5 linked regions of the Nothobranchius furzeri genome follow. The protein of the gene in region 1 interacts with the protein of each later gene in a pairwise test. Links are inferred from orthologs where the notes say so. Each region holds a gene or a part of one and is shown on either strand. Other genes may lie near its edges.

Region 1 (4,194 bases):
CAGACGAAGGATGAGGTTAAGAACGGGGAAGTACTGCCGCCTACAGGTCTGGCATGTCCTTAACAACGTATTTATCCGGGTACGTGTGGACAGAGTTTTTTTTTTAAACGAGGTGGTGTGGATGCAAGTTTTTGGAGGGGCGGATATTCGTTTAAAAAAAACCAGCTACGTGTGGACTAGGCCTCAGTCTAAACTTTAGCTTATTGTTTAAAGGGATATTTTGTAACTTTTTCATATTTTTAAATTATTTTCTTGAGCCAGTATGTGCTAAAATGACCCTTTACAGGGTTAATGAAAAGTCACTCAGAACCCACTGCTCTCTGTAGCTAGGGATGTGTAATGGTGACATTCTGGTGATGCAATACGTATCACGATACAGGGGAGATGATACGATACGATATATATTGCGATGCATTCAGCCAGACGATATTAGCGAATTTTTAAAACTGAATTTATGGTAGGAAAAATCAATAAACAGTCCGAACTGATACTTAACATGTTTAACATGAGGTATCGGAACCATAATAGAGGGAATTACATTTCAATGGGGAAAACAAAACCCATTGCACACTGATGCCAACTAGCAGTCGGTGTTTGAATTGCACCAAAAGAAAAGAAAATACACAAATGTTTGCATGTTAATTCTTCCTAAATTTTGATACAAGGCTTTTAAATATCACAGGATGAAATATCACAATGTATTGCCATTTTGATATTTTCTTACATCCCTAGTGGCCAGGATACCACTCTTTCAACTTCAGAGTGGCAGGCCGCTCTCTTTTGGACTTAGTAAAGTGGAGCTGGCGCGCCTGGCACTGCAGTCTGCTTCCAGCATGTTTCCTGTATGTTTTAGATCATGAACACAGCTGATTTGTTTAATTTAGTGATGAACTGTTCTTGTAAGGCTGGTGAGACATTTCAGCTGTTAAATGAAGAGTTAAAAAGACAAACGCACAGCGAGGAGATAAGTTTTACTTTCGGTTTTTACTAACAAGCACTAGGGGGTGCTAAAAGCAAGCCAAAACTGTTTAGTTTCTCTTTAAACGCCTTCTTTGGAAATTGAAATAAGCTTCAGATTATTCAACAGTATACTGGATCATGTTTTAACTGCTTCAATCCCTGTGTGTCTTTATTTTTGTGATTGGGTGAATCAAAATGTTATAGCATTAGTAGATTTAGCGTTGTAAAAGCTGGCAGATTGTGGGAATCCTATAGGAAACATGTTTACAATCCAAGAAAAGTGAGGTTTTTGGTTTTCATCTATCCTAACTGTCACTGATCTTCCCTACAGGTTTTGTTTTGTTGGCTTCTTGGAAGACCGCACCATTCACAGACCCACTGTGCTGTGGGAGTTTATGTGATTCTGCTGCAATAAAGACTTTCTGTCTGTTCTTTTGTATATTGGTGCAGCTGTTGCAAACATTTCTGCTGCAGAACAATAGCTGGCAGTGGCATCTGTAAACCTAATCTTCAAAAAACAACCATAAAAAGTATTTCTGACTCAAAAGGCTTTTGAGCAAGCGTCTTGGCCTGTCTTTTTATATTGTTTTGCCTGAATGTGTGCGAGGTATCAAACTCTCAGGCAGCACCTGAAACTCCAGAAGCATTTCCAAACTCTTTGTCAATTCTCTATGGTACAAAAATCACTGGCGTGGTGTCAATTACTTTTGAGGTACGGCTTCCAAAGAGGTGTCATAGATCAACCAGCATTACGCCCCCCCCCCCCCCCCCCCCCACCTCCGTCCATTTGTCTCCTGTTATTTATTTCGTCTGCCTGCGTTTGAAAGCGAGCGTCCCACGCTTGGAGACCAATTTGTAGCTGCACAGGTCGCGTGAGAGAGGAAGTGGCCTGCTAGACAGCGCTTCCTCCGGCCCGTCTCCCTGTCGTGACTGCAGGCTGGCCCTGAAAGAATAGACAGGAACATCTGGAATATGATAGTCCTCTGACACCGCCACATCTGGAGCACAATAACCCCTCATAGCAAAGTTGCCAAAACACGGTAGCGAGTGAAAAGTCTCCTCAAAGTTCCGAGGGTGCTTCTGTTTTCCCAACATGGCCTTAATGTGGTAATGGAGGGTTCAGCTACGCCTAAACCCTGGGGGCGGGGGCAACCTGCAGCTCACGGGAACATACTTGTCTTTCAGTGAGGTCGAGGTTGACGGCGATCTCGTAGCGCCGTAGCCGGGTCAGGTAGTTGTGGTGGGCGAACTCAGCCTCCAGCTCTCGGATTTGCTCCTTGGTGAATGCTGTCCGCTCCTTCCTGGGCTTGCTGCTCACGTCTGGCTTGTAATTCCCGTCCTGGGACTCTGAAACCAAACACCACACAGGTTTCTGCTGTGCTCAGGGGCAGATTTATATGCAGCAAAAATAGAAGAATCAAATAAAAAACAAATGAAAAACACCAAGGCAAAGGCTTTGCGGCAGGTGCGGCTGCAAGGGTGAGAAAGAAACGGCAAAGTTAAGAGAAACAATCAGAGCTGTCAGTCACGTTTTATTGTTCAGTCGTTGTTTATGAATACTTTAAGTGGGTGGAAGGACTCATGGGCGGCAGCACATGTGTGTCTGACTGCAGCAGCTGTGTCGGGACAATACGCCGGCTTTTACACGACCAGCATGGATTTAATTTGTCTGAGTTTGAAAAGATATTTGCTGCTTTGACTTCACCAGACGGGGAGCAAAAGTCTCAGAAAAGCTGAAAAATCATCATTTTCTGTCCCTTCCAGCTATTTATCACTGAGTTCCCAAAGTCAGTAAATATATTGGCATCATAAAAGTTATATTTAGATGTGTGTGGAAAGGAAAACAATCCCAGACTAGAGAAAAAGGACTAAAGTCAAGACAAAAACAGATTGTACACTTGCAGGAGAGAAATAACAAATTCCTGCTTCATCACCATCAATCTACAACAATCCAGTTTTCCTCGTGTTTCCAGAACCCCTCCAAAGAAAACACATATGGTTAATTTGCCTTTCAAATGATTCCTGTTAAAAGCAGCTCTTGTGGGCTCTGCTGGACACAATTCAGATGCTCGTGGGACTTAAAGCAGCAGCAATTGTACGGAAACTCATCTGTGGTCCCGTGAATTTTAACTCTGCCAGTCTGCGTCGAACAAAACTGTAAATAGTCCTGCAGCTCTGAGCCAGACACACGTAATGGAGGCCTGCTGGTTCTGTCTTATTGGGCCTGACTTTTCCAGAGCAGCAAAACAACGAGAAGAAGAGACCGAGCTGCTCTACAAAAGTTAGATTTAGAGCAGAAGGCAAGCAAACAGAAGCAGAAACTGCAGGAATTCACATATAAGGGGTAAGAAATGGAAAACGGCCTTTGTTGACCTGCAGCTTGTGTCTGGCTCACCTTTGACCTTGCCCCCCCCTGTATTTTTAAACCAAGTGGCTGACTGAATCACGTCCTCAGACCCACTCCCTCTGGTTCACGCAGACGTGTAAAAAAGAAATAAAAGTATAATGCAGCCAGTCGCTTCAGACCAGGCCTGGAGTTAAAAGGAGCGGCGAGCTTTTATGGCACCGCCGCTCCACCACAGCAATTAGGTCCTCGCCGAAACTTTCATCTCTCCACAAAAAAGGAGGAATAATTTAGGGAGAATACACCCAGACAGGGAGCGCCGCTCAGGGTTCTCTAATGAACTCAAGTTCAACAGGGACCCTCTTGAAAAAAATAAGAGCAAGTGAAAAGAAATATTTGCTTTTTTCAAGAGGTCCTTCACTCATATTTCTTAGTAGAAATGAACGCTTCGTAAGTCATACTCTGGGGGAAAAAAAGCTCCGGTGCGCCTGTTTCAGCATGGATAATTTAGCCAGAGGAGAAAGTAGCTTCAGACGTCAGGAATGACTCCATTCGCTCTGCGACATGGACGTTTTATCGCCACTAATAACACAAGCTGTTTGGAGTTCTGCCATGTGGTGGAGTTGCTAATGCTAACAGTTAGCTTCTACTAGCTGAGACGTTCTCTGCTGTTTCCTGGATGCTAAACCTACAACAGCCGTCCCCGTGGCGATTCAAGATGGGTGAGTCTATGAACGTTAAATGACAGTGTGACGTCTTCTTCTTCAGAGCGACTCTTAGTGCCAGCGAGAAGACTCTGGCACCTCACGCTTGCACTTTTTATAACAACACCTCATCCAAAAAAGCATCTTTTATTGTTTCTGTCAGAAAACTCTGAACTTTTTAAAGGA
Region 2 (4,863 bases), on another chromosome or scaffold:
TTTAAAATGCAGCATGGGAGCTGCCCAAAGTGCTGCAGGCTAAAACAAAACACACCCATTACAAGGAGCTAAAACAAAGGATAAAAATCTCAATTAAAAGCAGAGAAAACATGATGAATACTAAGAGCACATTAAAACAATGACACAATAAAACTCTAAAACGAATCACTGTCTAAACAATGTCCCAGCCAGGTGATCTTAGTTTGGAAACTTGACTAAAATAAGTGTCAAGTAAAAAAAAAATGTATATAAACTATCTACAGCAAATGTGATGTGTTTAAAAGTCAAGAAGTCATTAAGCACACACCTGAAATTTGCATCAGCCTTCTGTTAATCAGCTTCATTTGTCAAAAAATAACTCTTTGGGAATCATCTTGTTTTTTTGTTGTTGTTTTTTTACGGAACATGCACTGCTCTGGGTGGCTGCATGTTGGAGTAGCTCTGTTGACTATATGTACGTTTTGCCTTTTCTTGGGCATTTTTTCTTCTAGTTTCTCAAGAAAAACTGTATTTTTTGGACACTTTACTTTTCTGTTTCTGGTGCTGTGAAGCTTGGAGGATTTTTACTGCTATTTTTTAGCTTTTTTCACTTTTTGAGTATTTGTTATGATGTGTAACCATGGCAACAGTCTGGTTTAAAATCAGGAGCAGCTGATTAACATTGGAAAGGCTGAAATAATACCCAAACTGAAGCCACAAATCCCAAATGAGCTAAAACGCAAGAAGCGTGGGTGCAGAGCGGAAGCAAAACGGAGACAGAGGAAAAGGAAATTCAAACCACCTCTTCCATCGATCATAATGGGCAGTGTGAGATCACTGGCCAACAAGATGGAGGAACTCCAAGCCCTTTCAAGGACTCAGCCAGAGTTTTGGCAGTTTCGGAACCACTGGAGGAGATAATGCAAAGAAGGATTCTCCATAGAATCAAGAAAATTATGGACAACCCTGAGCATTCTCTTCACAAGACTGTCCGACAACGGAAGAGTGTCTTCAGTCAGAGGCTTCTTCAGTTTCGCTGCAACACTGACGGCTACTGGAGATCCTTCCTGCCAACAGCCATTGTACAACTCTTTGACGACTTGATCATTATTATTATTCTGAGCTACTACAGCAATCAGTTTCCCTCTGGGATTATTAAAGTATTTTTAATTGAATTGAATTGAATGCTAAAATAATATTTTGTGTGTCAAACTTTGTTATAATTGGCATTTCTACTGAATCAATTAAAGAAATTTGAATATAGTTGTCGTGCCTACGATTAAACGTTAAAAAGACTCAGAAAAATGTTTATATATGTATGTATATATATATATATATATATATATATATATATATATATATATATATATATATAGATAGATAGATAGATAGATAGATAGATAGATAGATAGATAGATAGATAGATAGATAGATAGATAGAATTTTATTGGACAGAAATGTGTTGCAAACAGTAAAAGTCTGTAAAGAAAATCATAAAGTCTGAAAACAACAAGATTACAAAGTGGCTTTAAGATCACCTGGCTGGGACATTTAAACATTTTCCTACATTTAAATTTGAATTTCTGTTTCTTTTGTTACCTGAGAAGTACAACATGTCCCTGTGCAGACTGGGAAAAGCCCCAGGATGTAAATATAACCACAGACATAGACAATATATATGTCTGTGAATATAACCATATAAAGTAAAAGCAGTCGGTGTTTTCCTTTTTTTTCTTTTGTTCAAGCTGCGACAAATAAGAGGGGAGGGGCTTGTGTGAAACGTCATCAATGTGCTACGAACACCTGGAAGCGCAGCAAGATGTTTTACTGAAGTTCACATTGTTAATCACAATTTAGAGAAATAAAAACAACTGTTCCGTCACATTACGACGCGCCGAATTGTGTTGAACGGATCTGAAGATGAGTGGGAGCGAAAAACAAATGGTAAGGAAGCTGAAACGAGCCGTTCGGTTTGTTTATTTCCGATTTTTCTAGAAGTTTCCCGTCCGGGTAACCGTTACTCACCTTTTTTCCCTGAACTCAGGAGGACCCAGCAGCCCTGAAGGAGGAGGGGAACGCTCTCTTTAAGGCAGGAGACATGCAGGGCGCTGTCTGCTGTTACACCAAGGCGTTAAAGCTGACTGACAGCCGGGCTGACGGTGCTGTCCTCTACCGTAACCGCTCCGCCTGCTACCTGAAGCTGGAGGATTTCAGCAAAGCGGAGGCTGATGCCTCCAAAGGTCGGACACTTCTCTTTAATTTGCATAAATAAGAGCGCACAAGTTTCTATGGGGCCATGAAATCGCAGGGACATTTATGAAAGAGACTGTAGATCACCACACATAATAAATATAAAAAGTTACCACGCTAGGTATGTAAACAGTAGGTTATTTAGCAAAATACTCACAAGATTATATCTACTCAAGTAAAATTACTTATGTAAAAAATAAACAGTATAAGTACTGGCTTATTTTCGGTGTTTTTAGTGTTCTTTTTGTCTCATCTTGTATGCAGATCAGAAGTCTGCAGACTTTTCAGATCATCAAATAAAACACATTAACCAATCAGATTAAATAATGCATCAATACAACAGTTTTACTTGATTTTTAAAATAATTAAATTGACCAGTAAATTAAAGCTGTTTACCATTGCCATGGAAACAAATTAATTACTACATTTCCATTTATTTAGTCACACAGAACTCTGCTTATACAAACTGTCCTTTCGGCCTTTAAATTTGATAGTATTAATTTGCATTTAGCTGTTGCTACATCTTTGTGGGCATCACTATGTAACTGGACATCTCACAGTCTGGAAAGCAGATCATTTTGTGGCATGCCTGCCTTTTTCTGAACATGTAGCAGACTCGGTTTGAATCAAAACAATGTGAGATATATTAAATAAAGCCTTGCAAAATACATAAAAGTGAATTCATGGAGATTCCATTTTTCATATTAACAATACCCGGTACAGAGCCTCTACTACCTTCCCAAAACACTTGACAATTAGGAGATTATTGTTTGCTAAGGCTCATTATTCTGGGTATTGTACAAATCGTTCTTTGGTTGAAGCTTTTATTAGATGCACCACTTTAGTAAATGTTTCCAGGTGTTTTCCTTTGTTTGCAGCACTTGATTCTGACCCAGGCGATGTGAAAGCCAGGTTTCGGAGGGCTCAGGCTTTTCAGAAACTCGGTCGGCTCGACCAGGCTTTCCTGGATGCTCAGACGTGTGCGCAGCTCGAGCCTAAAAACAAAGCTTTTCAAGATCTGCTTAGACAACTGGGAACACAGATGCAGCAAAAGGTGATATGAAACTGATTAGGAGTTTTGTCTTGGAAGAAGCAGATGCTAATTTTAGCCCATGTTTGCAACCCTTTAGTCAGCTCAACTAAACTCCACAGATGCACGCGTGCAGCAGATGTTCTCCCTCCTCTTAGATGCTTCTGCTAAAGATTCAGATCGACAGAAGGTGCTAATTGCTCACTTCTCTGTAACTCTTGGTGTGTGTTTTATTGTCAACACTTACTAAATCAGTACAATACGTGCAACTTTTTAGGCAGCTCAGAATCTGGTGGTGTTGTCTCGGGAGGAAGCGGGAGCTGAGCAGATCTTCCGCAACGACGGGATGAAGCTAACTCAGAATCTTCTTCAGTCGAAGCAGGAGGACATTGTGCTTTCTGCTCTCAGGACATTAGTTGGTTTGTGCACGGGACATCAGTCGAGAGTAAGTGTCACCATCAGTGCGGCGTCTTTAAAGTTGTTTATTTGCAGCAGAGTGTTTGCTGATTTTCTTCTGTTGCCTTTTATTTCCAGACGATGGCGATAGTGAATGAACTGGGAATGGACCAGCTGTGTGCGGTAATGGGGTCAGGAGCTTCCACTGTGTCTTTGGCCGCCTGCCACCTCCTGCAGGTGATGTTTGAGGCTTTGACAGAGGGCATGAAAAGAGAGATCAGGGGAAAGGACGAAGCGATCCTTCCTGGTGAGTTTGACTATTTGCTTTTATAATAGGAGCTGGATCCGCTCAAAGCAGATCTACTGTATCATGTTTATAATCATATATTTGATTGTATCCATGTTTAATCTCCATCTGAATTCTACACAGAACCATCTAAGGAGCTGCGTTCAATGTTGCGCCACCTTCTAGAGATGATGCCTGCGCCCGATGTGTCAGGACCGGGCAGGGACAGTGCCATCAACCTCCTTGTTAAACAAGTTCCCCGCAAGTCTTTGAAGCATCCTGACAACTCTCTTGCCTTATGGGTTATAGACCAAGGTAGGAAACTCACCTGCATGCGGTCGTGTGTTCGTCTCATCCTCGTGCATTTACGGTCACAAAAATGTGGAATGTGGTGCCTAATCTCATGCAGGGCTGAAGAAAATCCTGCAGGTGGCTGGGACTGTTCCTGAGCTCTCAGAGGGACCCCCTCTTACGGACAACACTCACATGAGCTGCTCCGTGCTGCTAAGCAAACTCTACGATGACCTGAAGAGTGACAAAGAGAGGGAGAACTTCAGCAAACTGTGTGAAGAGTATATTCAGTAAGTTATTTACAAAAAATATTTCTAGGAGCCTTAATCCACCCCAAATTAAACTCTTAAAATTAATTGTTTTCTTTTTCTGAACAGGCAGCACTTTAGCCAGCATGGGCTGGAAGGAAAGCTGCGTGCCATCCAGACCGTGTCGGTGCTCCTCCAAGGTCCGAGTGACGTGGGGAACAGGACTCTGGAAATGTCAGGAATGATGGATGCTGTGATCTCTCTCTGCGCTTCCAAACATGTAATTCACCAGCAGATAGCGGTGGAGGCTCTTATCCACGCGGCGGGCAAAGCCAAGCGAGCGTCTTTCATCACAGCCAATGGCGTGGCCCTTTTGAAGGACC
Region 3 (3,740 bases), on another chromosome or scaffold:
GGTGTCGGCTTTCATCGGCAGCAACATCCTGACGTCGGAGATGAAGTGGGAGGGCATCTGGATGAACTGCATCTACCAGACCACGGGTCACATGCAGTGTAAGACCTACGACTCCATGTTGGCGCTGCCGCCGGACATCCAGGCCGCTCGCGCCCTCATGTGCCTCGCCATCTTCATGGGCTGGCTGTCCTGCACCGTGTCCTGCTGCGGAATGAAGTGCACCACCTGCGCCGGAGACGACCGCCGGGCCAAAGCGGGAATCGCGCTGGCAGGAGGAATTCTCTTCATCGTCACCGGCCTGTGTGTTCTGATCCCGGTCTCCTGGACCGCCAACACGGTGGTCCAGGACTTCTACAACCCCAACGTTCCCGTCATGCACAAGCGGGAGCTGGGTCAGGCCATCTACCTGGGCTGGGCCGCCGCCGTCATCCTGATGATCAGCGGCGCCGTGCTGAGCAGCACCTGTCCGCTGATGGAGCGGGGCGGCCGGTACCGTCGCGGCTACGTCGGCCGGAGTTTCGCCAACTCGCCCGCACCGGAACCACCGAAACCCATCATCTCCAACAACGTCCCTCTGAAGGAGTACGTCTAGGGGGGGGGGTACCACTAACAGAGTGACCCTTTATTTATTTATTTATTTACACACAGGACTGTGTGTGTGAGTGTGTGAGTGTGTGTGTGTGTGTGTGTGAGAGTGTGTGTGTGTGTGTGTGTGTGTGAGAGTGTGTGTGAGAGTGTGTGTGAGAGTGTGTGTGTGTGTGTGTGTGTGTGTGTGTGTGAGTGTGTGTGTGTGTGTGTGTGAGTGTGTGTGTGTGTGACAGAGACTGAACTATTTGGCGTGCTAGCTTGTTAGCGTGTGCGGTGCAGGCTGTAATCTCTCCAGATCTTCACACAAACTTCTGGTTTTCAAATAAAAGCGTTTGACATTAAGAGCTGGAAGCGTCTTGTGTCCTCGGGTCGGGTCGGGTCGGGTCAGCGAACCCTCGCTAGCTCACTGAGGCTGGATGAAGAGAGAGAGTCTGCAGAGTGAATCTGAAAAGAGACAAAATCCAGCAAATCGGACCGTTGGGAGACCTGAACATGGGGGTGGGCTCTGGTCCACGTGTCACGACTCACCTGTGATCTGTTGATCGGCACTCGGAGACTCCAGAGATTTCCACCTTTTGGGAGCAGATTCCAGCAGAAGGAGTTGGTCCGGCCTCAGCGTCTGCAGCAGAGCTTTCCTCTGTAGGAATCTGAAGATGAGTTCAGGGAAACGACAACAGCAGGATAACGGGAATGCCAGGAGGCCCACAGGAAGGATACTGCTGCCTGTAGAAGCGCTCAGCGTCCTGGATCCACTGCAGCATGTCGGCCAGAGACGGGACGGTGGCCGAGCGCTCCGTCAGCATCGTCAGGTCCACAGAACTCTGCTGGTACTGCTGCAGGAGAGCAGAGGCCTGGCTACTGATGGAATCTCTGATGGACTGCAGACGGCACCTGGAGGAGGAACACAACACATGGACCGTCAGAAGATGGGTCACGAGCTGCTTCACAATAAATAACTAAAAAGATGAGAATAAAATGGGAGAAACAATTAAAAAGTAAGTGGATCATAGTTATAACGTCCAGCTAAGATGGATAGCCAACGCGCATGCGCTCCATCATAACCCTGGAACGGGTGTTGTTCTACTTCTGACCACTAGATGTCAGTATCACCCCGAAGCTCCGATTATTGATGACAATAACTAACGCTGACGTACGTTTATTTCCCGCCAGCGTGGTTCTGAGGGCTCTGACTCACATGTTCTCACCGAGCCTCTGGAGCACCGTGTCCGCAGCCTGCAGCAGCTTGACCCGCAGCAGCTCCTCCAGCTGCGGGAAGACTCGGAGCGGCGTGTCGAGCAGCTGGACGCGGGTCAGCGCGCTCATCTGCTCCGCCAGGTTCCCCAGAGCCTCCATGAGCGGGCTGCACTCCTCCAACACGCTCCTCCAGACCTCCCGCTGCTTCTCCAGACTCACGAAGCTCCTCCTCAGCGCCTCCTGCAGCGGCTCGGACATGCTCCGGTTCTCCTGCTCGAACCCGTTCCTACTTCACGCACGTCTCCACGCGGCAGCTCACGTCTAGAGCCCGCTTCCGGTCTCCGGATGTAAACAATGACTTATGATGCGTTCAGGGCACCTCAGAAGTCCGAGCTCTCACTCGAGCTCCATTTCAACTCCATCACCGTTGACCATATAAACAACACGTGTGGGGGGTGCAGTCGTTAGGGTGATCTAAACTCTAGTCCTGTGATTCATTTGTAGTCGGCAGTAATTCTAAATGATGCAATTTTAATGTTTTATATAGTCTAAAGACAGGATTACGTCATTTGACAAACACGGAATTCAGCAAAGTTACGGCTACAGTTCAAAAGTATGTTTTATGTAACAAGTGTAGGAAATTCCTACTTTATACGTTGTCAGTGAACGTAGCATGGAAAAGATCCAGTAGTTAGGAATGTTTTTATTTATCCATGAAGACAGCAGTGCGTGTCGGAACATAACGTACACCCTGTTAATAAATAATAAACACAGTTTTAATGGCGCTTAAACACGTTAAAGACCACAGCGTTTATTTTCCACCCTTTACATTTAACAATGTTCAGTTTTACAAACGGAATAAAACTACTGAAATGAAAGAATGAGCTTCAGTAAACTTTGTTCTTGTAAAAGAAAATGATAGAATGAACACATTAATCATTCAGTAACAATCTTCCTGTTTATAACACGTAAGTCAAAACCTACACACACCTATTCATATTTAGCTGTTCTTTAAGTCCCGATCAAGGACCAATTCATAAAGATATTGATCCAATAGAAACTCACAACGAGGAAGAACGGAACGTTTGTTGGTGAAACAAAGTTTCCGTCAGAGCTCTGCGTGCAGCGCGAGCCACAGAGACAGCTGTTGCCATAGATATGTATATATAAACATTTATGTTTATATAATAAACATAAATACAACACATAAACATTTATGTACATATGGCTGTTGTCACCGAGTACCCTAATAACGTGACTGTTACTACACCCCAAGCCACGTGATGGCAGTAATGCACGTTTGCCAAGCGCTGGTAAACGCCTCAGTGTTGTGACGCAGTAAAAACGTACGTCCTCATTGGCTGACGTGTCCCAGCGCAGAATTTTAAAACGTCTAGTAGGAAGAAGTAAGCGGCAAAAGAAACGCAGGTGACTTTTCTCTAATTTAAGGCTGATAAATCGGATTAAAGTGATGTTTTATCAATTTTATAAGATGTGTGAATAAATGGTCGGTAGAAAAATCCGCGCGAAGCCCTGATGCTAAATAACTAGCTAGCGCAGTCAGCGGATAACGTCCTCGTGCCTGCTCTTTTAGCTAAAGCTTATCTTCTGTGAAACGGTTTCAGACTCTCTGGACTAAATCCTTCCACTCCGCGCTGACATGGCTCCACGGAAGAGAACCACCAGGCAGCAGAAGAACAACCCGAAGGTCGCGAAGATCGAAGCTTTTCTGCACGACTACGACAGCGAAGGTGCAGAATTAGCCTAAGAACTCAGATGCTAGCAGACACTCTCTAAAGGGTCTGGGTTAGTGAGCGCTAACCCGAGTTAACCAGAACCCGTTACTAGCAGACTCTTACTGGGCTTCAAGTCACTCAAACGCTGGAATTTGTTGTTTTGAAGGATTAAAAAAAAGTTTTAACTTCAAGCAGAATAACTGACTTTATGGGACGAGGAAG
Region 4 (4,716 bases), on another chromosome or scaffold:
TACCTGCCAGGTGTTAAAGAGCAAGTCGCCCCCAAATAAACTGTTTTTTGCTGATAAGCTAAATAAACGAGTGTCTAATCGTGCTGCAGACACATGTCGTCAGTAATTTGGCACTTCAGTGCATCTTAGTTAAAATTTAAATATTCTGACTAAAACTGGCAGTGTTGTGCCGTTGTCAGGTAAAAACTCTGCACTGTATTTTAATTTAAATCTGCCACTGCTATTGGCTAAGAAGTATGCTATGATGTAAACTGGTACATTATGATGTCACAATGCTGTTGTGAGCCTGAGTGTGTGTTTGTTAGCGGCTCCGCCCTCACGGTCTGCCAGGCAACAGCACGTGTTGCATTTTTCAAACATGAAGTGGGAGTGGAGTTAGACTCTGGTAGGGGTTGACTTGCTCTTTAAATAACTGATGTAAATGTAAAAATTCTCACCCTAAACTTTTGTTTCTAGAACAGTAAGAACTTGGTTCACTCGATCTAAAGCTGTGGAAGTTTTAGCAACAAATAACAACAAGCTGTCTAGCTCTCGCAGACGCAAGGGTATTTAAAAATCTTTGGGATTTTTCAATTAAATATTCCTGACAGATTGCATAATTTACATATTTTGTGGTAAATGTGTAAGTTTTAGACTCTTATTATGAAGGACTGAAGGAAGTTATTTAAGTTCCCCAGTCGATTGCACATCAGATTCAATAAAATGCTCAATTTCTATGTATGTAAATGTAAAAACACAACCATAACCACAATCACACACAAAACAAAAGTTTCCTGCTTTTCCTCCTACTGGTTGAAAGCGGTTTTACCAGGACTGCCAACACACACTGAGCATAAGACACACACATCATCTGACCCTCTTCACATGCTCTCACCCCCCCCCCCCCCCCAACAATATTTCATGCCGAAGAATCGAAAGAAACTTGTCGATCCATTTTCTGTTGGTAACTGGTTTTAGGAGTCATGTGCCTAAAACAAGTGGTTTCAAAAAGTCTCTGTTTGTGATGTCACAAATAGGGAAATTAAATAGAATAGAGCAACAGGTACTACAAGCTCTTCTGGATATAGGAGCTTCTCATAGCAGCCTGATCAGGGATGGGTGGGCGTGGCCAGCTTCTGCTTCTTTTCATAAAGTGAAAGAACACTGAAACTGCTTATGCTAGAAGGTACTGAAACTGTCAAGAATAAAACTGCTGAAATTGCTTAATGTGAGAGAGATTTTGTGCAAAGAACTTCACGATAAAAAAGTTATAATAAGTCCCTTTTAAAGCCTGAAGGATTTGCCTACTGTCTCTGCAGATTGTTTGGTAATCTGCTGTTGCAAGCATGGATTTTTTTAAATTAGCTTGTAAAATTATTTGTTTAAGCAGAAAAATGTGTGTCCTGTATGTGTGCGTGATTTTGCACAGCAAACATGTAAGGCTTTGATGGGTCTCACAAATACTATAACCATTTCCCTCTTGGGAACAATAAAGCCCTTTACTACATTTTAATCCACAATCTAATCCTAGTAAATTATTAATGTAAATGTCAGCAGAACTGTGGCTATATCTTAATCTAATGACGTAATGATGGTGGTCAGCTTGTTATCTGCATCCTCCAAGGCTGAATTTTGGCTCCCTGCTACTGCGGGCTGTTTTGGAATGACGTCATTCCGCAGCGGAGCCACCGGATTGGCTGGATCACTGGGCGGAAGGTGCGTCTGTTGTCCCAGCTGTGTGCTGAAAACAAAACAAGACAAGCTGCGACTGGTGAGTGCTCGGGTACGGCGGGCTTTGCCCTACGCTGTTATGAAATGACTACAGTAAATATTCACCGTCGTCTCTGTATCCGTGTGGCCGCGGTCAAACGCTCAGAAACGGCTGCTTTGTTGCCGATAGTTCGGAGCTGTGTGGCTGTGCTTTTTCTCCTCCTCCTTGTGCTGAGCTCACATGATATGAGCTGTTATGCAACACGCAGATACTCCAGCCTGCCTCTGCTATTGTTTTGCTGCAGTAACGCTGCAAAGACTCGACCGCGTTTTGCACTAACGGCTTCCACGTTTTCGAGCTGCTGGTGATGCGCACGCGCGTTTAAAGGCCTTATTTCACAAATACGATCAACAAAGACGCACCTCCTCCTACGTGAGCTTTATCAATGCCATTTTGCTGCTGGACTGTAGGGTGACATCAGCCTGCAACATGAAACAGAAATAAATTTAAAAAAAAAAGGATGAAAATGATGGAAAATCTCATGATATTTTTAAAAAAAATTGTTGGGTTTGTTTGATACTATAAGGTTGATCAGTTTCCGGGATGGTTTGGCTCTCTTGGGTTAAAATAAATTTTATAAATAGGAGTGTTTGTTTTGGTTAATCGTACCTGATCTGGATAACGTCTTCTAATGTAGAAATACTCAATAAAATGCTATGTGAGTCTTCACGAAAGACAATTACATAGATGAATCAATAAATAGGCAAACAGAAGGAATGTTTTAGTTTATCCTTTCAGATTTATAAAACATAACTAGTGATCATATATAGACGATGTGTTTCACTTGTGTTTCAAATAAACTCCTATATTACCATGCTGTCGTTCTTTTTTTTTTTAAACACAGAAACAGTTTCGTTACCTGTTTTTCCACTACGTTTCGTCTGCGGCTGCAGACTTCCTCAGGCTGACGCTGATGGAGGCGTCACTTCCTTCTCTGTTTATCCGCGAGCAGCAGAGGACGTTGTCGCCCTCTGCTGCTCGCTCTCCCCTCTCTGACGATGCAGTCCCATGCGCGGTCCAACGTGTAAACTCCATCGTCCCTGTTCATGGTCCCACATCCACGTCTCCTTATCTCGATTGCTTCTTTAATCCATCTTTTGTATTTTTGTTGTTTGTTGTTTATGATCCGTGTGTTGTCCCAGTCCATTATATGGTTTTCTCTTATGCAGTGATCTGTTACGGCTGACTTCTTTATTGTGCTTTCTGCTTCTTCTTTTGCTGCTCTCGTGTGTTTTCTACTTGCCTCTTTCTCACACTCCTTTCTATGTTTTATTGTTCGTGTGTTGGGTTGTCGTCCGATTTCTACGATGTATACGAATGTTTACGAAATCCCATGCAAACTCTGCAATAAAACATACATAGAAGCAATCGAGATAAGGAGACGTGGATGTGGGACCATGAACAGGGACAATGGAGTTTACATGTTGGACCGCACATGGGACTGCATCGTCGGAGAGGGGAGAGCGGGCAGCAGAGGGCGACAACGTCCTCTGCTGCCCGCGGATAAACGGAGAAGGAAGTGACGCCTCCATCAGCGTCAGCCTGAGGAAGTCTGCAGCCGCAGACGAAACGTAGCGACAAAACAGGTAACGGAACCGTTTCTGTGTTTTAAAAAAAGAACGACAGCATGGAATTAGAACCACGACACAGCAAGAACTCACCTAATATGAACTCCTATATTAGTTTGCTTGTGGAGTATAAGTGTTTCTTTTGTGGTGTTTCTGTTTCCAGCATCATGATGGATGAGCTGGTGCAGGACCTGGTTTCTGCACTGGAGCAGGCCTCGGAGCAGAGCAAGCTCGGGGAGCTGTGGGAGGAGATGGTCATAAGTCCGCTGCAGCATCGCCGGCAGATCCGCCGCCGACGGGGTCGTAAACGCCTTCACGAGTCCTCCGTGTACCCGACGGCACGTAGACGATGCTGGATTGAGGCCTCTGAGTCCAGCCTGGATGAAGCTAAAGATTACAGAGAGAACCTGTCCTCTTTAAATGCATCTGTGGCCAACTACAGCGACTCAGACGATGAAACTACAACTGACCACTGGCCTTGTGTCATTAGAAGCCCCGTCCGGTCGAGGCATCCCTCCTGGCCTGAGTCTGATTCCTTCACTGAGAGTAATCCGGGGCAGCCACTCAGGAGGCGCAGGAAGGTCAAGCGTATGACCCCAGATGTGAGGGTGAGATTTCAGCAGAAATTACACGTGAGGAACAATGGGAAGAGGAGGCAAAGGCCAACTAAGGTGCAGCGTCTGTCAGGATCGAAGAGGAGGTCGAGTGGATGGATGGGAGCAGAGAAACAGACTGAAGGAGGCAGACTGATGGGAAACGAGTGCTGGAAGAGAAAGATGGGCAAAGAACACAGAGATGCTGCGGACGAAAACATGTCTGATGGGTAATGTCATCACTTTTAGACCGCATTATAAGTTAATAACAGAAATGTATTAAAAGTACTTTCAAATGGAACATTTTTTAAAAGTGACCAAAAAAACAATACTGCTTTTCCTTGAGCTACTTGTCGATATTTAGCATAAGTTTCTAACAAGACAGAAAAAAGCAACAACCCTATTATCTTAAAGTGCCGATTTGGCATTAAAAATGAATGATGGTCTCTAATCTCTTATATCTGAAATGATCATCAGGGAGGGCATCTTTGATAGCTCTGCCCTCGGGCGTCTGAGAGCTCATTATTTCCTTTTGAGAACTATTGTCACAAATAAATTAGTGACTTGGTGAGGTATTGATTTGTTTTGAAATATATGCCCGTCTTTGGCTGGGTAATTAAAGCTGTGACTGTCCCACAGTCCCAGCTTTCACCCTCCTGTGTGCATTTCATTTAGCAAACCTAAATGTGGCTTTAACTTACAGAGAGGGACAATATATTATTACAGTGAAGCAATCAATGCAATACACACTCAGTACGTTGATAGAAAGGTAAGTCACTGCATGAAACTCCATTAGAGTAAAGCG
Region 5 (4,943 bases), on another chromosome or scaffold:
TGAGGTATATGAACCACAATAGAGAGATTTCCATTTCCATGGTGGAAACAAAACCCATTGCACATTGCTGCCAACTAGTGGTTGGCGTTTGAACTGCACCAAAAGAAAAGAAAATACACAAATGTTTGCAAGTAAATTCTTCCAAAAGTTAGATACATGGCTTTTGAATATCACTGTAATGTCAAAAGAAAAAATATCACGATATACGTGAAAATCCAGCACCGAGTTTATTTTTCTCAATTTAGGTTTTATGATTCAGTAGCTTACTTTTAACACCTTTCACAATCTTGTAGCGTCTTTGGTTTTATTTGTGCCATTTCAAATGTTTTTTATCATTCATCGCATTAATTTTTATTTTTGATAGTGCAGTTAACTGCTCTCTTATTCTATTGTTTTTAGTAGGAATATTTATCCCTGATTATTTATGCTATGTTTTTATGTATTTTACCTGATTTTCATGCTTTCATTGTGCTTTGTTGATTTGTTCAAGCATTTGGCTCTTTTCTGTACAGCAGGTTGGTTAGCTGCCATGCTATTTTGAAATGGTGCTTTATAAATAAATTGGTATGGTATGGCATTGTTATATCGATATTTTCTTACATCCCTTTTAAAGCTGCTTTCTGGAGTTTTCCGCTTTCAGAAATGATGTATGATTTTTCAGAAATCCATAAAAGCGGTTGTCTCATCATGTACTGTGATAAAATGTAAGCAATGTGTCTTTTATTTATTTATTTATCTTTGCCAAGCACGCCCCCTGCCCCGCAGAGCTCCGTGCAATAGGAAACTGAGTGCCGATCAGAACTAACCAACAGCGTTAGACTACCTCTTACTTGCATCAAATTTAAGGAATACCTCGGCTGATGCAGAGATGATGAACTTTCCATGGACAAGTAAGTCTCTAAAATATAAATATATGAGAACACAACATGACATGAGAATAATACTCGTAAAACAACGTGTTTTAGATCTGTTTGTCGGCTACAGATGCACATTTATACGTGAAGTTGCGATCTTAAACAGAGCAACAGATTTTTTTGTGTGATATGCTTGTGAGCCACTAGATGGAGCCATCGGATAAGAGAAATACTCCGGAAAGAAGTTTTACGAGTTAAACTGAAAACCTACAGATAAAGTGAAATAAGCTCAACACGGCATAGCTGATCATACGATTACGGTTTAGTTTGCTTTAAACAGCAGGATGAAGGTTCATGTGATTCTAAATTTGTAACTAAAAGAGAAAATGACAAGAACAAGATCAGCTGATTCACAAACCAGTTCACAGCATAGCCTCTGCTTTTATACAATATGTAAACATAACAGAGATTATGTTAGGGATTATATAACTGAAATATTGTGATATTCTGTTTTATGATACTGAATCAATAATTAAATGCTGTGTATCGATTTCTACTGAGAATTTACATGCAAACATTTACTGTAATTTGTTTGTGTGGCGTAGTTCACTCCGTCTGCTAGGTGGCAGCAGTTTTTAACCGCCTACATTCTGATGGAACAAGATGTTGCGATAACACTGGATGTGTCTTGGGTGAGTTTTCTACTTAAATTCAGTCTTGATCTGGCTTTTAGTACCGCATTATGTTGTTTCTGGTGGTGTGAAGTATATTCTTTTGCCACATTCGATACACAGCTGATCTCTTCATTTAAACAGGAACAAAACAAGCAGACAAGTTATCTTTTCTCCATCTCGGGTTATTGCAATCTTTGTTCAGATGTTTAACTTCACTTATTTACAAGTTTTTCTTTTCATACAGTGTTGCATTATTTTTCCACCAAGACCTTGAGAGTCCAACCGCTGCACAAAGCCTTTTCTGGCATACCCCAGAGACTCAGTGATGTTATAGTCTGGGCTCTGCGGTGGACGATCCATGTGTCTCGTGCTCCCTGAACCACTCTTCCACAGTTTGAGACTGATGGCTCCTGGCACTGTTATCTGGGAACATGCCATCAGGGAAGAAAAACCCCACTGATGGATTAATCTGATTATTCAGTAAGTTCAGCAGACCTCATTCTTGGGGCACATGATGTTGCTGAACCTAGGCCTGACCAACTGCACTGATTCTAGATCTGAAATCCAGAGGGCGGCTTATTTTTGGACAAAAAAGTTGGCAGCAAATTGGTGAAAAGGCACCTTAAAGTAACCTTGAGACCACTTCAAAAAGCCTGGAGATACTGACTATACATCTAGAAAGGGTTGGCAGAATGTTTAAGATATTTGAAAGAAAATAAATAATTTAGGCCAGGTTTTAAACTCTTGCAGCATAAAAAGGTACATTTTAGATGCTTCAGAATATCTACACCAAGAAGATGGAGCAGCTTGGGTGAACAGTATCATCTAGTATTTTTTATGTGTAAACCGTCTAAACTCGAAAAAGTCTGACCGGAAGAGACAAGATTCGGGAAACTGAGTCCAGCTGTTACATATGAGGAATGAAACGGACGTTAGTAAATATAGTTAACCACAGTAACTTTGTTTTTATAATTAAAAAACAATGCTGAATGCTCGACAAAGAGTGCCGTTGGTATCAACAGCGGGCTGACTTGTCAGTGGCTAAAATAACACAATTATTATGGTGAATTCACGATGAGAAAACAAAACAAACTCTTCACCGCCGTCCTCTAACTGCTCACTGTAGCCAGTTGTTAGCAGCTAGCTAACTCGGCTAAGTCACCAGCTAGTCCGCAAGTTTCCCCTCACACCCCGACAAGTTGTCTTTTACCGGGAACGATCCCCGCCAGTCCCGCCGGTAGCTTACACAGTAGCGTGGCCGGAGCCTCGCACCACCACCGGGTCCGGAGCATACTTGAGGAGCTGCTCTTCCGCGGCCCTGTCCTCGTCCTCTTCTTCTTCCTCCTCTTCGTAGATCTCATCAAAGTCCTCCATCATCTCCCGACTCGATCTCACCCCGGTAAAGACACCGGGAGAGAAACGACACCGAGAACCACGGAAACCTCTCAGAGAAACGCGCACTGAACAGAGAGGATGACCACAAAAATATCAAGTAGCTCCCATCGCTGTCCGAGGCGAGCTACTAACAAAACATCAACATCCGCCGCAGTAGCTGTACGACACCGGAAGTGGGACCGACGTCCTTACGTCTTTTTGTTTGTAGTTTCTATCATAGTCACTCAAATAAATTGTTACTTAGTTTTTGTTTCCTTTTTCTGAATTTGACACACACACACACATAAAGAAAAAAAAATTATTAATGAATATAACCATATTCGCCTGAATCCAGACTAACAGAAATAAAGAGCTTAAAAATAAATAAACATGGCAAAAAATATATCATAATAAATAAGGCAAGGGGAAAAAATGGTAAAAATAGAATAAAATCACATTTTCATTTTGGTTTTCTACTCTTAAAAATTCTATTCGTCTTTTGTTCCTTTTTTATTTCATTTGTTAAAAACATGTTTACCTCATTCTCATTTCTTTCTTGGTGATAGTTGTACTTGTTTTTTGGAAATTCACTTTCGGATGTTTTTTTATAGATATAATATATTTGATTAGAAATTACACACGCCTGCTGATAAAACGTTATAACTAAATTAGTTTATTCAATATTACCTACTACTCCTTGAACCGTCACCTTATCGTGGTGGAGGAGTTTCAGTGCCCTAATGATCCTAGGAGCTATGTTGTCTGTGGCACTTTGTGCCCCTGGTAGGGTCTCCCATGACAAATTGGTCTTAGGTGAAGGGTGAGACAAAGAAAGGTTCAAAGGATCTTTCATGGATGTAAATTCAAAGAGTCGGAGTACCCGGCCCGGAGGGTTAACTTACCGGGGTCCCACCCTGGAGCCAGGCCTGGGGTTGAGGCCCGTGAGCGAACGCTTGGTGGCCGGGCTTTCGCCCATGGGGCCTGACCGGGCCCAGCCCGAACCGGATACATGGGCTCATCCAACTGTGGACCCACCACCTGCAGGAGGAGCATGAAGGGTCCGGTGCAGTGTGGATCGGGTGACAGACCAAGGTGGGAGCCTTGGTGGTCCGATCCCCGGACAAGGAAACTGGACTTTGGGACATGGAACGTCACCTCACTGGCGGGGAAGGAGCAGGAGCTTGTGGCAGAGGTTGAGCGGTACCGGCTAGATATAGTCGGACTCACCTCGACACATAGCATTGGCTCTGGAACCCAAGTCCTTGAGAGGGGTGGGACACTCTCCTTTGCTGGAGTTGCACCCGGGTGAGAGGCGGAGGGCTGGGGTTGGCTTTTTGTTAACCCCAAGTCTCTCTGCCTGTGTGTTGGGGTTTACCCTGGGGGATGAGAAGGTAGCTTCCCTGTGCCTTCGGGTCGGGGAACGGGTCCTGACTGTTGTTTGTGCTTATGGGCCAAATATCAGTTCAGAGTACCCACCCTTTTTGGAGTCCCTGGGACGAGTGCTAGATAGTGCTCCATCAGGGGACTCCATTGTCCTGCTGGGGGACTTCAATGCTCACGTGGGCAATGACATCTTGACCTGGAGGGGTGTGATTGGGAGGAACGGCCCACCTAATCTGAACTCGAGCGGTGTTTTGTTATTGGACTTCTGTGCAAGCCGCAGTTTGGCCATAACGAACACCATGTTCGAACATAAGGATGCCCACCGGTACACTTGGTACCAGGGCAGCCAAGGTCGCAGGTCAATGATAGACTTTGTAGTCATATCATCTGACCTGCGGCCGTATGTTTAGGACACCGGAGTGAAGAGAGGAGCAGAGCTGACAACTGATCACCACCTGGTGGTGAGTTGGATCAGATGGCAGGGGAAGATGCCGTGTAGACCTGGCAGACCCAAACGCATAGTGAGGGTCTGCTGGGAACGCCTGGCAGAAGAACCTGTTAAGACGGTCTTCAACTCCCACCTCCGGCAGAGCTTTGACCGCGTCCCGAGAGCAGTGGGGGACATTTACCCAGAGTGGGCCTTGTTCCACTCTGCGAT

What was found.
Region 2: the proteins of meox2a (region 1) and unc45a interact in binary tests that used the Homo sapiens proteins (3 or more experiments, as listed by UniProt). The two-hybrid records come from large-scale screens. The link is inferred for Nothobranchius furzeri from reciprocal best matches to the Homo sapiens genes MEOX2 and UNC45A.
Region 3: the proteins of meox2a (region 1) and airim interact in binary tests that used the Homo sapiens proteins (3 or more experiments, as listed by UniProt). The two-hybrid records come from large-scale screens. The link is inferred for Nothobranchius furzeri from reciprocal best matches to the Homo sapiens genes MEOX2 and AIRIM.
Region 4: the proteins of meox2a (region 1) and G patch domain-containing protein 2-like interact in binary tests that used the Homo sapiens proteins (3 or more experiments, as listed by UniProt). The two-hybrid records come from large-scale screens. The link is inferred for Nothobranchius furzeri from reciprocal best matches to the Homo sapiens genes MEOX2 and GPATCH2L.
Region 5: the proteins of meox2a (region 1) and chic2 interact in binary tests that used the Homo sapiens proteins (3 or more experiments, as listed by UniProt). The two-hybrid records come from large-scale screens. The link is inferred for Nothobranchius furzeri from reciprocal best matches to the Homo sapiens genes MEOX2 and CHIC2.

Annotation. Positions count from the first base shown.
Region 1 is NC_091745.1:64,687,304-64,691,497, forward strand, and holds part of meox2a (homeobox protein MOX-2), read right to left. Parts: intron 2,308-4,194; coding exon 2,135-2,307; intron 1-2,134. UniProt on the Homo sapiens protein: Mesodermal transcription factor that plays a key role in somitogenesis and somitogenesis and limb muscle differentiation. Required during limb development for normal appendicular muscle formation and for the normal regulation of myogenic genes.
Region 2 is NC_091744.1:74,263,185-74,268,047, reverse strand, and holds the start of unc45a (protein unc-45 homolog A), read left to right. Parts: upstream 1-1,761; 5' UTR 1,762-1,899; coding exon 1,900-1,923; intron 1,924-2,023; coding exon 2,024-2,219; intron 2,220-3,107; coding exon 3,108-3,283; intron 3,284-3,359; coding exon 3,360-3,449; intron 3,450-3,536; coding exon 3,537-3,704; intron 3,705-3,793; coding exon 3,794-3,962; intron 3,963-4,085; coding exon 4,086-4,256; intron 4,257-4,350; coding exon 4,351-4,522; intron 4,523-4,609; coding exon 4,610-4,863.
Region 3 is NC_091759.1:26,720,364-26,724,103, reverse strand, and holds airim (AFG2-interacting ribosome maturation factor), read right to left. Parts: upstream 2,150-3,740; 5' UTR 2,041-2,149; coding exon 1,784-2,040; intron 1,480-1,783; coding exon 1,306-1,479; intron 1,236-1,305; coding exon 1,117-1,235; intron 1,033-1,116; coding exon 992-1,032; 3' UTR 803-991; downstream 1-802. Other genes in the region: cldn35 (claudin-4), read left to right, coding at 1-592; cdca8 (borealin), read left to right, coding at 3,443-3,533. UniProt on the Homo sapiens protein: Part of the 55LCC heterohexameric ATPase complex which is chromatin-associated and promotes replisome proteostasis to maintain replication fork progression and genome stability.
Region 4 is NC_091758.1:32,642,490-32,647,205, forward strand, and holds the start of G patch domain-containing protein 2-like, read left to right. Parts: upstream 1-1,614; 5' UTR 1,615-1,750; exon of another isoform or gene 1,751-1,762; intron 1,763-1,786; exon of another isoform or gene 1,787-1,803; intron 1,804-3,481; 5' UTR 3,482-3,485; coding exon 3,486-4,141; intron 4,142-4,716.
Region 5 is NC_091747.1:75,930,278-75,935,220, reverse strand, and holds the start of chic2 (cysteine-rich hydrophobic domain-containing protein 2), read right to left. Parts: upstream 3,103-4,943; 5' UTR 2,906-3,102; coding exon 2,775-2,905; intron 1-2,774.